Tribolium castaneum: one gene and its partner. The protein of the gene in region 1 purifies or fractionates together with the protein of each later gene. This does not show direct contact. Links are inferred from orthologs where the notes say so. Each region holds a gene or a part of one and is shown in the gene's direction. Other genes may lie near its edges.

Evidence for each region. Proteins that work in one complex are often made in the same cells at the same time.
Region 2: the proteins of RIOK2 (region 1) and bys purify together in Homo sapiens (affinity purification with mass spectrometry; 3 studies listed by BioGRID and IntAct, with this or other methods). This does not show direct contact. The link is inferred for Tribolium castaneum from reciprocal best matches to the Homo sapiens genes RIOK2 and BYSL.

Annotation. Positions count from the first base shown.
Region 1 is NC_087394.1:23,767,471-23,774,337, reverse strand, and holds RIOK2 (serine/threonine-protein kinase RIO2), read left to right. Parts: upstream 1-3,116; 5' UTR 3,117-3,208; coding exon 3,209-3,274; intron 3,275-3,323; coding exon 3,324-3,465; intron 3,466-3,512; coding exon 3,513-3,891; intron 3,892-5,922; coding exon 5,923-6,114; intron 6,115-6,166; coding exon 6,167-6,692; 3' UTR 6,693-6,749; downstream 6,750-6,867. Other genes in the region: serine/threonine-protein kinase SBK1, read left to right, coding at 1,938-2,958. UniProt on the Homo sapiens protein: Serine/threonine-protein kinase involved in the final steps of cytoplasmic maturation of the 40S ribosomal subunit. Involved in export of the 40S pre-ribosome particles (pre-40S) from the nucleus to the cytoplasm.
Region 2 is NC_087398.1:4,028,781-4,034,801, forward strand, and holds bys (bystin), read left to right. Parts: upstream 1-2,892; 5' UTR 2,893-2,978; coding exon 2,979-3,113; intron 3,114-3,158; coding exon 3,159-3,630; intron 3,631-3,675; coding exon 3,676-4,334; 3' UTR 4,335-4,421; downstream 4,422-6,021. Other genes in the region: kto (mediator of RNA polymerase II transcription subunit 12), read right to left, coding at 1-221, 333-886, 932-1,195, 1,246-1,785, 1,839-2,388; Tango11 (transport and Golgi organization protein 11), read right to left, coding at 4,494-4,930, 4,974-5,187. UniProt on the Homo sapiens protein: Required for processing of 20S pre-rRNA precursor and biogenesis of 40S ribosomal subunits. May be required for trophinin-dependent regulation of cell adhesion during implantation of human embryos.

The DNA of each region.
Region 1 (6,867 bases):
ACGTTAGATCTACGCTGGTCTATATTTTTCTTTATATTTTTTTTTTACGAGATGAGATTAATTATCACCAATAATAATTATCAGTGGCGCTGCCATGACAACCGACGTATTTTTTATTGTTTTTGATATTATTTGATATTATATTACTTTATTTTTGGTAATAATAATAAAAAAAGACTTAAAGGAGAATAAATACACACAACACAAAAATACTGAAAAGCTCTTTATTTTGTTGTTCTTCTTTATATATTATAAATAACAATTGTTTTTCATATTTTTTTAACATAATTAGAATAGAAACACTTGACTACAAAAAGTAAAAAAACTTTTTTAAAATAACGCATGAAATATTTAAAACAAGTCTAATTTTTTATGTAAAATTCTCAACTACAAAATCTGAGCTACAGAACAAAATAAAACTAGTTTGGGCTTTTGTATGCCTAGAGACGATTTTTTATTATAATTATTGTACTGAGCAATATTTAACATCATTTTTATAAGAATATCCTTAATGCTGACGAATTTTTTTTCAAAAATTTATAACTGTGCTTATATTATTAAATGTTTGTGCCATGTCAACTTAAAGTAACATGTATTAATGTTGCAGCCTGATGAAGATTTAATAAAAAATCGAAACGTATCGAAAAATATAAATTTTAATTACTCGCTGCCCTAAATAACCACTATTTTTTCCGGTCATAGTTTTCAAGGGCAGAAATGTCATCTCAAAATTTATAATATTAAGTGTAAAAATCATATTGGCTGTTATTAATTTAATCCGCATTAAATGCATGATTAACTGATCACATGACCAAATAGAAGCACTTTGATTGGTTTATTGGCGTTGTTAACTTTTAACAACGCAATTAACTTTAATTGAGCTTTCTATAAACCTTCCCTTAGTTCCCTTAGTTGGTTAAATAAATTTCTTCAATTATATAACGCTATACAACGAAAATTCTGCCTGATTTCGACACCGACATTTGTTTATAACAAAAACAGACTATATTTAATAGCAAACTTTCATTTATCTTGTCATTTGTGTTTCATAATAATAACTTCTAATTGTTAGTTAACAATTAGTTTTCCTTTTCCTTTGGTTTTGGATTAATTTTTTTTAAGTGTGTTTTTCCTTTTGGTGGTGCCCTTTTGTGGATTATCGTTTTACTGTGCCCCGGACAATTTTATGAGTATTCTGTTTTGTGTTTGTAATATTTGGAGCACTCTCGACAATTTAAATTACTGATAAAATCATATCTTTGTTGTGCTTCATTTTTCAAAAAAATCCTCAAATAGGTTAATTGTTATTTTTATAAATAGCTAAATACTAATCACATTTTGGCACTACTTTAAAGTGTATGACATCATTGGTTTTTCAGAAATGTCTTCATTTTTAATTTTTTGTAATCACAACCAACATCTTTTTTTTGATGTTTTAGATAGCTCACCACTCTATCTTTCTGGTAAATATAAAAAATAAAAACAATAAAACAAAATTTTAATAATAAAATAAAAAAAGTTAAATTGTCAGTGTTATTTTTACACATGAGGTTTTTTATTTTTATTCTTGTCTTATTTTATAAGGTGTGATGTTTTTATACATTTTTTTATAATTGCCTAAATAGAGTTACAACATATCTTAACAAAATATCTAAAACAAATTAATATAACAAATTATTTATCTGTAACATTCCTCCTTTGTCGCCTTGTTCTTAATACGATTCGTCCGCTAAAACTCTATTTTGCGGACTTGTTACGTAAATAACTATTTCTGTATTTATATCTGAAAAATTATAAAATTTACTGTCGAAAATACTAAGAAAAAATGTTGATTGGCAATAGATATCGCCTGGTTTCTTCTAATTTTCCTGATTTGTCCAAAATTTCTTTAATTACTTAAATTACTCCATTTTTCTAAATTTACATTTTTCTCACAGGACCAACACTAGTCACGACGTTTGGCAGTTTGGAATTGTGATATTTGTGTGTTTGACCGGGTGTCTTCCATGGCAGAAAGCCGCCCCTGACGACCCCCGGTACTCCAGGTATATTTCCTGGCAAAGCAGCACTATTCCACTGAAAAGACAGCCAAAATTGTTTAAACTGGTGTCGTCCAAAGCCCAAAAACTCTTCAAAAAATATTTAGAACCAAAACCCGAGAAAAGACCAGCGGGGCTTGCCGAAGTCCATCGATATTTGGAAGACCGCTGGATGTCCAAAGGCGGGATGGAGAAAACGAGCGAGTTGCCGGATGAAGAGGAGGGGCTTTGCCCCTCAATGTACAGCTTCCACAGCAGTCCGGAGGAAAAAAATAAACTACTCTTCACCCTAACCCAGTACGGACTTGAGACAACCGTTGACCGAACGGCCAAAAAGGACCGAATCCGCCAGTGGATCCAGTCGAGTGTCATTGAGGAGGAAAACGAAGAAGAAATCGAAGCACTGTCCGATGAAGAAATCGGCCCTGAGGGGGAGCGAAACGAGTCGCGCGGACCTGTCTCAGCCCCCAAAACCAACGGCCTCGAAACGGACAAAACCAGCCGAAGGAGAGCCTCAACGCTCAGTCTTCGCAAAGTTCCGGACTTTTATATCCCCCCGATTGACCCACGAATCCCCCTTGAAGAGCAAAAGGAGAAAAACGTGTCTCGCAGTCAAATCATCAAGACGAAAGACAAGCCGAAGGACGAGTTTTCAATAAGCAAAGCGTTGCCATTCCAGAACTTACAAGTGGTGAACTCACTGTCATCACTTGATTCCAGTGATAGTAGCACAGTGAAGCACCACAAAATTAACGTGCAGTTGCCCCAATCGGAGAAATACGTTTATGGGGCCACCCCTAACGGGGTGAGCAACGGGGTGCGCAGGTCGCCCCCTGTTAACGTACGAGGGGCTGAAAAGATGTACAGGGCGTACTCGGCCACGGAAGTCCGAGGGAATGGACATTACTCAAGGAAATAAATGCTCAAAACGTGACTGATTGTTATTTATATTTGTACATATTAACGTGTTATTACCACATTTGTATCATGGAGTGATTAATAACTAGTCCTAGGCCAATTTAGAGTAAAAAATGTTTTATTTAAATTTGTTCTTTAAATTTTGCCCCCAAAACCTCTTGGTGATTTTTGATTTGGAACTAGAAACAATCTCAAACCTTGCAAATGTGTTGATGCAATTGCGTGAAAAATAGTTAATTTAAGTGTTAGAAATGGGGAAATTGAACGTAACAATAATGCGTTACCTCACCGGTGAGGATTTCCGGGTTCTAACAGCGGTAATTTGGCGTTTTATCTTGAATTTATTTTCCTAACCTCACTTTTCAGATTGAGATGGGCATGAAAAACCACGAATTGGTTCCGGGCCCCATGGCTGCGTCCATTGCGAATTTGCAGCACGGCGGTGTTCACAAATTGCTGCGTGATTTGTGCAAGCACGGATTATTGAGTTACGAGCGGGGGCGCAAATGTGGGTTAATGTTTTTGCAGACTTCAGGTTTTATTTTATTATTTCAGACGATGGTTACCGCTTGACCAACATGGGGTATGACTATCTGGCCCTCCATTCGTTAACAAAACGCGACGTTATTGGTTCTTTTGGAAATCAGATTGGGGTGGGGAAGGAGAGTAATATTTATATTGTTGCAAATCCTGAAGGAGAGGAAGTTTGTTTGAAGTTGCATAGATTGGGACGAGTGTGTTTCCGGAATGTTACGAATAAACGAGATTATCACAAGCACAGAAAATCGGCGTCTTGGTTGTACTTATCAAGAATTTCAGCCACTAAAGAATTTGCTTACATGAAGGCGCTGTATGATAGGAAGTTTCCAGTCCCTAAACCCATTGATTTTAATAGACATTGTGTCATCATGGAGTTGGTCAAAGGGCGGCCCTTGTGAGTTTTTACTTATTTTAATTACTGGTCAAAGTTGCTTTGGAATTTGAAATTAAGTTGGCAACAGTGCCAAATTCAAACGTTACACTTATCCCTAAAGTGTAGTAACAAAATTCCTCAAACTGTGTAAATAAAGAAGAAAACGTCCAACTGGGTAAAAAGTTATTGTGACAACATTGTAAAAAGAGTATCAATTAAGACGATTTCTAGGGAATACATAATAATTATAAAATAAAATTGTTAAAAGTAAAAACAACAAATAAAAATAATACGTAAACAATATAACATAAATTAACTTCTTTTTGATGAGTAAATTCGTTTTATTTTTTTTTTATAACAATTGTCAAAGTGAATATTCTCTCAAACACCTTAAAACCTTTAGTTTCGGAACACTTGTATCGAAAAAAATCAAGTTTTTATTGTTAAATATCAGAAAACTTACAACGGGGTTAAGGAAATTTTATTTCAAAAGACAAAGAATTCATAATGATAATGATACGGTTGCCAGCCTAGTAATCATCAAATAACTAGTGGGTGAAAGAGGCTCATACCAATATAACATATATAACATATAACTCATACCAATATAACAACACTTTAACAATTGATTTAAAAATAAATTTAAAGAATAAATAAATTAAAAATAAAATAAATGTAAAGAATAAACAGACTAGGTGTACTTACACTTTTACTGTCTCCCTTTTATCACATTTTATGATGAAAACAATGATACTAAAATAATCGTTGTTGGAAAAAAAACTTTTCTTGTTTTTAAAGTGAGCATCTGTGTCAACAAATTTTCGGGAAAAAACAATTACAAGCAAGTAAGCCTCTGTAAGATAAAAGATTAAAAATTCAAGTTTGAATAACGTTTTCGTTCATTATTAAGAGGTAGAGGATATTATCTTCCCTTTTTTTTTATAATTAAAAATCCAAGAATGGCAGTTTATTTTTAGCTGGGTATCCAGAGTCGTTGCCTAATGTTAACTTGAAATAAATCTACGGTTTTGATATTTTTACTGAAAACTAAAAGAATTTCTAAATTATGTAAAATTTTTTTCTTGTTAAAAAATTCCTAGAGCTGGGAAAGATGCTCTAATGTGGCATCTCTGGCTGGGATGTGTGTCAACTGACACAATTTTATCTCACTAATTCAGTATTACCAACTTAATTTCAAAATCAGGGGGCACTTTAATCAGACATTTATTTAACCAATATACATGTACTAAAGTTATTTTCTCACGTAGATGGGTGCTGAAAGTATTTTTAAATACTCTAAAGTATTTTTATTACAGGAGTGTCCCAAAATTAGCGAATTCTGAGTTCAGAGCATCTCAAAACTAATATATCTCAAAAACTAATAGTAGGAGAGAAATCAGCGTTTGCTTTTTTAATTTATCCACCTTTCCTGATAATTAAAATTTATTAATTAAAAATATTAATAATGATAGCCCCAAAGTTACCTCTATTTCCATTTTTATTTAATTATTTTTGGGGCTAGAAACATTTTTTATGAATTTTTTGCACTAAATGCTTGTTCTAAAATGATTCCTAAATTAATCTTTTGCCACGAACTTATAATTAATAATAAGTATACAAGTATTTAATAACAAACTGGAAATTTGTGTGACTATTATTTCTGGGGTATATTAAAAGTATACTTCTAGCAGACCCACCTTGTATAAGTGTAAAAAATAACTTTAGTGCTGAAGTGTTACCTTACGTTTTTTCTGAACCCGTATTTTTTAAAATTTTTGATGTATCCAAGGACTGTCTTTACGGACGATTTTAACAATGACAATAGAAAAACAAATTTTACCGACTATTTTGGGTTGTTTTACGGACGATTGCGGCAAGCATTTTTACAAATTTATGACTTACAATTTTGAAAACTTTATGTCTCCAAAAGTACTACTTTTTTCTGACTATTTTCGGTGACTTGACGTAGTATTGCGGTTACTTTATGGAGGATTGACCCCGACAAAGTTCTTACGAACTACTTTGCGTTACTTTAGGGCAAAAAAATTTTAGGTGTCACGTAATGGAATTAAATGACGTGGAGGCGCTTTACGATGAATTAATGAATCTTATTGTTAAGTTTGCCGATAGTGGAGTGATTCATGGTGATTTCAATGAGTTTAACATAATGATAAAAGACGATGAGAAACCTGTAATAATTGATTTCCCTCAAATGATGTCAACAGCTCATGAAAACGCTGAAATGTTCGTATTTTCCTACTTTCCCCTGTACACCAATCGGTAAATGAAATTGTAGGTATTTTAATAGGGACGTTAACTGTATTAAAACTTTCTTTAAAAAACGATTTGGTTATGAGAGCGAATTATACCCAAAATTCAGCGATATCGAAAGAACGGATGCTCTAGACGCTGAGGTTTTGTGTTCAGGGTTTACGAAAGACATGGCTAAAGATATTAACCGAGAATTGGGTATCGATGAAGAAACTGGGAGCGAAGACGAAGAGGAATCACAAGATACTGAAGAAAAATGCACAGTCGATTCAATTTTTGATCAGTTGAAACTCCAAGATCGCGAAACCCAATCAGATAGTGAATCAATTGATTCGTTTGATAGATTTGAAAGTGGAAGTGTGAGGTCTTGCGCGACCACGATCCACCCAGATGAAATCAGAAGTCGCGTCAAAAAACAAATCGTAAGTAGGGAAAAGAAGACTCAAAGGAAGAAATGTGTAGCTAAGGGCGAAGCTAGCGCCACTACAAGGGTCCGAAGGGAGAATAACGATACCATTAAACAGAGCAAAGGACTGTGGGGATGGGAATGAAATTCAAGAGTTATAATTTAATTTTAATTTAATAAAAGTTTGTCTATTAGAAAACAAGTGTTTCATTTCATATACATTTCCCGATTTTTGTGCTTTGATGCGTCTATATTTTTTTATTTTTTTAAATTTGTATTTCTTAACATTTTTAGTCTCCTCATCGGTCATCGTAAGTTTA
Region 2 (6,021 bases), on another chromosome or scaffold:
TAGAGAAGGTGGCGTGAAGGCTTGACTTTATGGTCATTGTGGTCCGTCTCCATGGGCACATGGCCGATGGACGATTGGTGCGGGTGGTGCCCATGGTCGTGCTCTTTGGGGCTGTCAGGCACGTCCATGGAGTTTTGTTGGTCCTCTTTAATGTTCTGCAGGATTTTGTCCAAGTCGTGGTCAATTGTCGCGTCGTCAAAATCCATATTGTGCGAATGGTCCTAAGTTTAAAAATACTGACTTAAAATCATTTGTACTGATAATGATCATAAGAACTCAAAATAAAATAAAAAAATTTGAGCAAAATGCATTGGCTTTTAATTCGCACTCACCTCTAATTTCGTGTGATGTGACTGGTGGCTTGTGCTCACATCGGTGGTTTCCTCGGGCCCCAGCAAATCGCCCCTCGAAATCAACGTACACATGTAGGCATCATGTGAGAAAACGTCTCTCCTTATCAACTCAGCAAACAGATGAACTAAATTCGAAAAGGCGGTTTTTTTCTGCGGACAGTCATCAGGTGCCGGCACTGGAGCGTCACTATCCAAAAACTTCATCAACAGTTGTTGGAACATTGGAGGCCCCCCTGGTACGGAACAATTCGAGTCTTTATCGTCCCCGGGGGCGGTTTCCTGGTCCCCGTTTGTGGCCGAATCGGACTGGCGGCGGTCCAGAAGCGCCGCCACCGCCAAGGCCCGGTGTTCACCTGTGCGTTCGGGCGAAACGGCCCACTCACATAATAACTTTACTACGGAATTTTCCTGGTCACTGTTACCGCCAAAAACCTTGGTGTAGAGAGTGTCAAGGGAGTTGGTCGAGTCCATTTTGTCGAAGCGGTGGCGGTCGAGGGCGTCCAACGCGGCCAACACACGATTTGTGATTGTTCCTACTCAAAAAATTAGAAAATTTTAATTACAGTTAACTGTATTACCGGCCGACGAATTTTGCCATTTTTCCGTACACCAGCGGCCTTCGGCCCTTTTGCTCCTTTCTCTTATGCAATGTTCGGCAAATTGCAATTGTTTCCGGTAGGTGTTCATGTCGCAGCGCGCCGCCATCGGGAGTGACGATGGTACCATTGGTAGTAAATCTAGGGGAGACCCGTGCCAAACACTACCAACGCCAGTACCACACCAGACTAGGGCCGTCGGGCATTCAAGAGTTATAGTTTGAATAACAGTGCTCAGCTGTAACACTAGAATAAATTTTGTAAAAATAAATCGGTAAAAAAATTTTTTTCCCTACCAATATCCCGATGATGTGGGCAATTTTGGTACTCCATGAGCGTGCTTTGCATGGGATTGGTCACCGGCACATCCTTCTTTTCCTTTTCGTTGTCTTTTTGCTCCGTCTTTGTCTCACTTTGGGGCGAGGTGATTAGATTATTTTCCGCGACGTTATTCAACATGTAGCCAAGTTTTTTGCAACACAAATGCGCCAAACGTCGCGATAACAACTCAGATTGGACGAATTCGTCCAAATATTGCAAACATAAAGGCATCAAAAGGCGCAAAATGCCGTCATCGGACGGTTGTGACCTCATTTTTTCCAAAAGTTCGAGAATCCAGGTCAGGACTTCTTGCCTGTCCATGAGGCCCTCCTCATACATGTATTTGAGCAACTGTGTGCAGTAAATCCAATGACGCATTGCGAGTTTTTGCTCAGTTTCGGTGGTCGCAGCCTGGGTCAGAGAAGGGGTTTGAGGGGGCTTTTCACCTTGGGAGTAATAGTCTTGCAGTTTGAGGATTTGTTCTTTGAGGAATTTTAGCATCGTTCCGGTCCATTCTACAAGAAATTGTAGTTAAGTGTAAAGTTAATACAAGTAATAAAATAGAGACCTGTAGTCGGGTCTGGCATTTGCCGTTTTTTGATTTTGGCCTCGGACACGGCAACTGTGTAAGCCGAACTCAACTTGATAAACCAGGCGGCCCGCATCATAGGCACCTGATACTCGCACAGCATTATAAAAATCTCCTCTTTCTTGTTGAAATTGGGCGCTTTTTTCGACAAGTGCATCAATGGTTTGTTCCCAGCTAGATCCTTAAACCAGAGTTCTATGGCATTTTTTGTTCGTATTGTGGCGGGCCAGAAGTTGTCTTTGGGGTTGATTTGTTGCCGCTTCCTGCCGGAATCGGGCAACATGCTCAACTCCTCTTTGCGTTTGATAATGTCATTGAAATAATCCCCGACTTTGCTTGCCGAAATATTGCAGTTTCTGGCCGTTCCAAATTCGTCGCTTAAGTGGGTCATTGTCAGGAACCCATGTTTAACGTTGACACTCGTCAACTCGTCTTCTTTTTGCTTCGGTTCTTGCGGGTAAACGTCCGGAGGGCCGATTTTCGGCTTTTTCAAAGGTCGTTTTTCGTACAAAAGGCTGCTATTGAACATTTTGGCACAATTTGGGATTGCTATTATTTTGAACACTGACAAGGGGGCCTTTAGGCAGCTCCAATGTAACGCATCGCTACAATTTAATTAAAATCTCGACCCCGGGGGCTTCATTGCGGGGGAAAGTGCCAACACCTAAACGAGAGGATGGGAGCTAATATTTCAGTTTTTACACCGATTTAGACAAATAAAAAAACGACAAAGTATTGAACAAGCATTATGTAAGCTTAATTAGGAAAAAATGTAGTGATAAATTACCGTTTTGACGAAATAAACACACTTTTATGCACCAACAACACAAGTTTTGAAGATGGTGTCCTCCATCTTGACCTCTAGGGATAATAAAAAAATCCCTGCTAATTGCTTAATTTTATCGAATTTTAAACTAATAGCGCAATAGTTTAAAAAGCGAATTTTTAGAAAATTAATTTTGCAAAATATTTTACCCGATTTGACCCAATCTCGTACTTAATGCTGCTGTTTTCCAATTTAATTTTAAATTGCCAATGTCGCCAACCCAAACCTCTGACAAGTCCTTTTAGGTTACGTCCAGATAGTTTGAAGACACGTGTGGTAAACAAATAGGGATAATGGGCAAAGCAAAGCGCCTGAAGCCGTCTCAGATGGGCACCAAGGTGCCCCTGGACCAGGACATCGAGGACGCGAAGTTTGCCAAGTCGAAAAACCGCAACAAAATCCGTCTAAGACAAGACGACGATGAACAAGTTTGTATCGCTTTATGATTGTCTAAAACCAATAAAAAATTCCAGTTTGTGGACTCGAACCTCTCGCGGAAGATTCTCTCAGCCGCCCGAGAGCAGCAACGCGAGCTGGACTCAAGTTTCGGCCCCACGCCGTCCGAGGCAAGTTCAAGCAAGTTTAAAGTGTCCAAACTGGGGGACGATGACTCCGAACCGGAAGAGGAAGACACCCTCGAACCGGACACGTTTTACGAAAACATTGAAATCAATGAAGAGGATGAGAAAGCTTTAGAGAAGTTCATGAGTAGCAATCCGGCCCCGAGACGCACTTTGGGGGATATTTTGGCCGAGAAGTTTACCGAAGTTAAGACGCATTTTAGCGAGGAAGGCTCGGTCAAAATGCAGGAGTTGGACCCACGGGTGGAACAAATGTATCAAGGGGTGAGGGATGTTTTGCGGAAATATAGGAGCGGCAAGTTGCCGAAAGCGTTCAAAATCATCCCCAACTTGCGGAATTGGGAACAAATCTTATACATCACGGGTAATTAAAATCATTGTTGATGCCCAGCGGTTAATTAAGTTTTAGATCCGCCAAGTTGGTCAGCTGCTGCCATGTACCAAGCCACCCGTATTTTCGCCTCAAACCTCAAGGAAAAAATGGCTCAGAGGTTCTATAATTTGGTTTTGTTGCCCCGAATTCGCGACGACTTGGCCGAATACAAGCGACTCAATTTCCACTTATATCAAGCCTTGAGGAAAGCCCTGTTCAAACCTGGGGGCTTCATGAAGGGAATTCTCCTACCACTGCTTGAAAGTGGCGATTGTACGCTCAGGGAAGCTATTATAATAGGCTCAGTTGTCGCAAGAAACTCTATTCCTATTTTGCATTCTTCTGCCGCGATTTTGAAAATCGCGGAAATGGATTACACCGGCGCCAATTCGATTTTTTTGCGTATTTTCTTCGATAAAAGATACGCGTTGCCGTATCGTGTTGTGGACGCAGTTGTGTTCCACTTTTTGAGATTCGAGCGAGATTCCAGGGAATTACCCGTTTTGTGGCATCAGGCTTTCCTGACATTTGTACAAAGATACAAAGCTGATATTTCAAGCGAGCAAAGGGACAGTTTATTAGAATTATTAAAGAAGCAAAACCACCACGCTATCACACCAGAGATCAGAAGAGAAATTCAAAATGCGAAATGTCGAGACGCTGAAACCGCCGAACCAAAAATGGACTTTGACTAAATTAATGGTTACATAATTGTGATAATTATATTGAAAAAAATCGGTTACAACAAGACTATTAATAAAAACTTGGAAAAATTAGGAAAATTATGTTACTTAAACCAGAACTAATTAACGTCAATACGATTTGTTCCTAACTTAGGGATAAACTAGTGCTCCCTAATCTCTATTCATCCAAATAATGACTTTCAACAACAAATAAGCGACTCCAAAACCAACTAGAAACTTCTCCTTTTGGAGCCGGCTCAAGTTTTCTAATTCTAAGGCCATCACACGTCTGTTGAGCTTCGCCATTTGCCGCCTGAGGTGCAGCACCTCTTCGGCGGCCGTCAGCCTCTCGCCGCTGCCCCCGATCGGGGGCGTAGTCTCGCGTATCGTCAGATTCAAATCCGAATCATCAAACGCCTGTTTTTTCTTTGGTTTAACCACCGGAATCTGGTTCAGTTCCGGGTCCTCCATCTCCTCAAGAGTGGGAAAGGGGTACTTGTCCAGAGTCAAAGTCCTGGGCGGGGTCGCAACCCGCACATCCCCGGGGTACGGTTCTGGGGGAAGGATCGAGTTGTCAAAGACAATTTCGCGTGGGGGCGCCCTTGTCCCTAGAATCCTAGTCAGACGCACCAAATAACCTAAACAACTCACCAATGTGCTGATGTTGCCCCACGACGAGGATTCGCTCAGGGACTTGCATGTTGATGTTGTCGCGGTTCCACGGGGGCTGTGTGGCCCCGTTCAAGTCCGTGTTGAAGCTGATCTTGTCGGGAACTTTCATTTTTTGATTAATTTCCACTTTGAAGTTGGCATCTGTCACGAAGGCGTCTTCGGTGTAATGCGACGGACTTGTGCTCGCTGACATCTAAAAATACGGATTTTTGGCGAATTGTGACTGGGCGGGGCCCCGACAAGCACGGGCAATAAATTTCTACCTTTTACTGGTGTGATAACGCTATTTATAGCCAAATAATGCTATTTTTATCAGCGATTATAACCAAAGCCGATCCGACATTTTGAATTTGACACTTGACGGTCGATGGCGATACCAAGCGGCTAAAATCCCTGAGAATTTGAAATTGGCGCAGTTTTGAAAAAAAAAACATTTAAAAAAAATTATTGAATCTGTACTTAAGGGCAAAAAAGCTTATGTAAAAATTCAAGCGCCCAACCAAAGTGGGACTGCCAATACCCTGATTATATTTGCAAAAAAAATCTTTTTTGCTTTATTTCGGAAATTACAAAATAAGTATGTTTTATTTCAGTTTATAGTAGAATTGCAACAATGCATTTAAATTTTTTGGAATTTTTAATCACAAAAGTCGAATTATCTAACTGATACAAAAAGTTGTGTCTATATAGGCAACCAAACATACACCTTAGAATTTTTGAAAATAATTTAATTCGGTCAACAAGTGTAGTTAATTGCTTTTTTTAATGTGGGTTAAGTCGTTTTGACCTCTAATTTTTGGCGACATTGGTGTGCTTCCAAGTCTTTATTCAATGGTTAAGATTTTGGCCTTTGTGTTCGTATAAATAAAAAGATCAATTTCTGGCCCCCTTAATTTATCTGCGCCGATAAAAACAAATGACAATTCACTTATGAGTAAATTGAATAGTGGACGTCCGAGCGTAATATCGGAGCCCCCGTGGCGCGCCCTTGGACCTCAGTGGCGTAGTCATAAATTGCTGTAAAGAC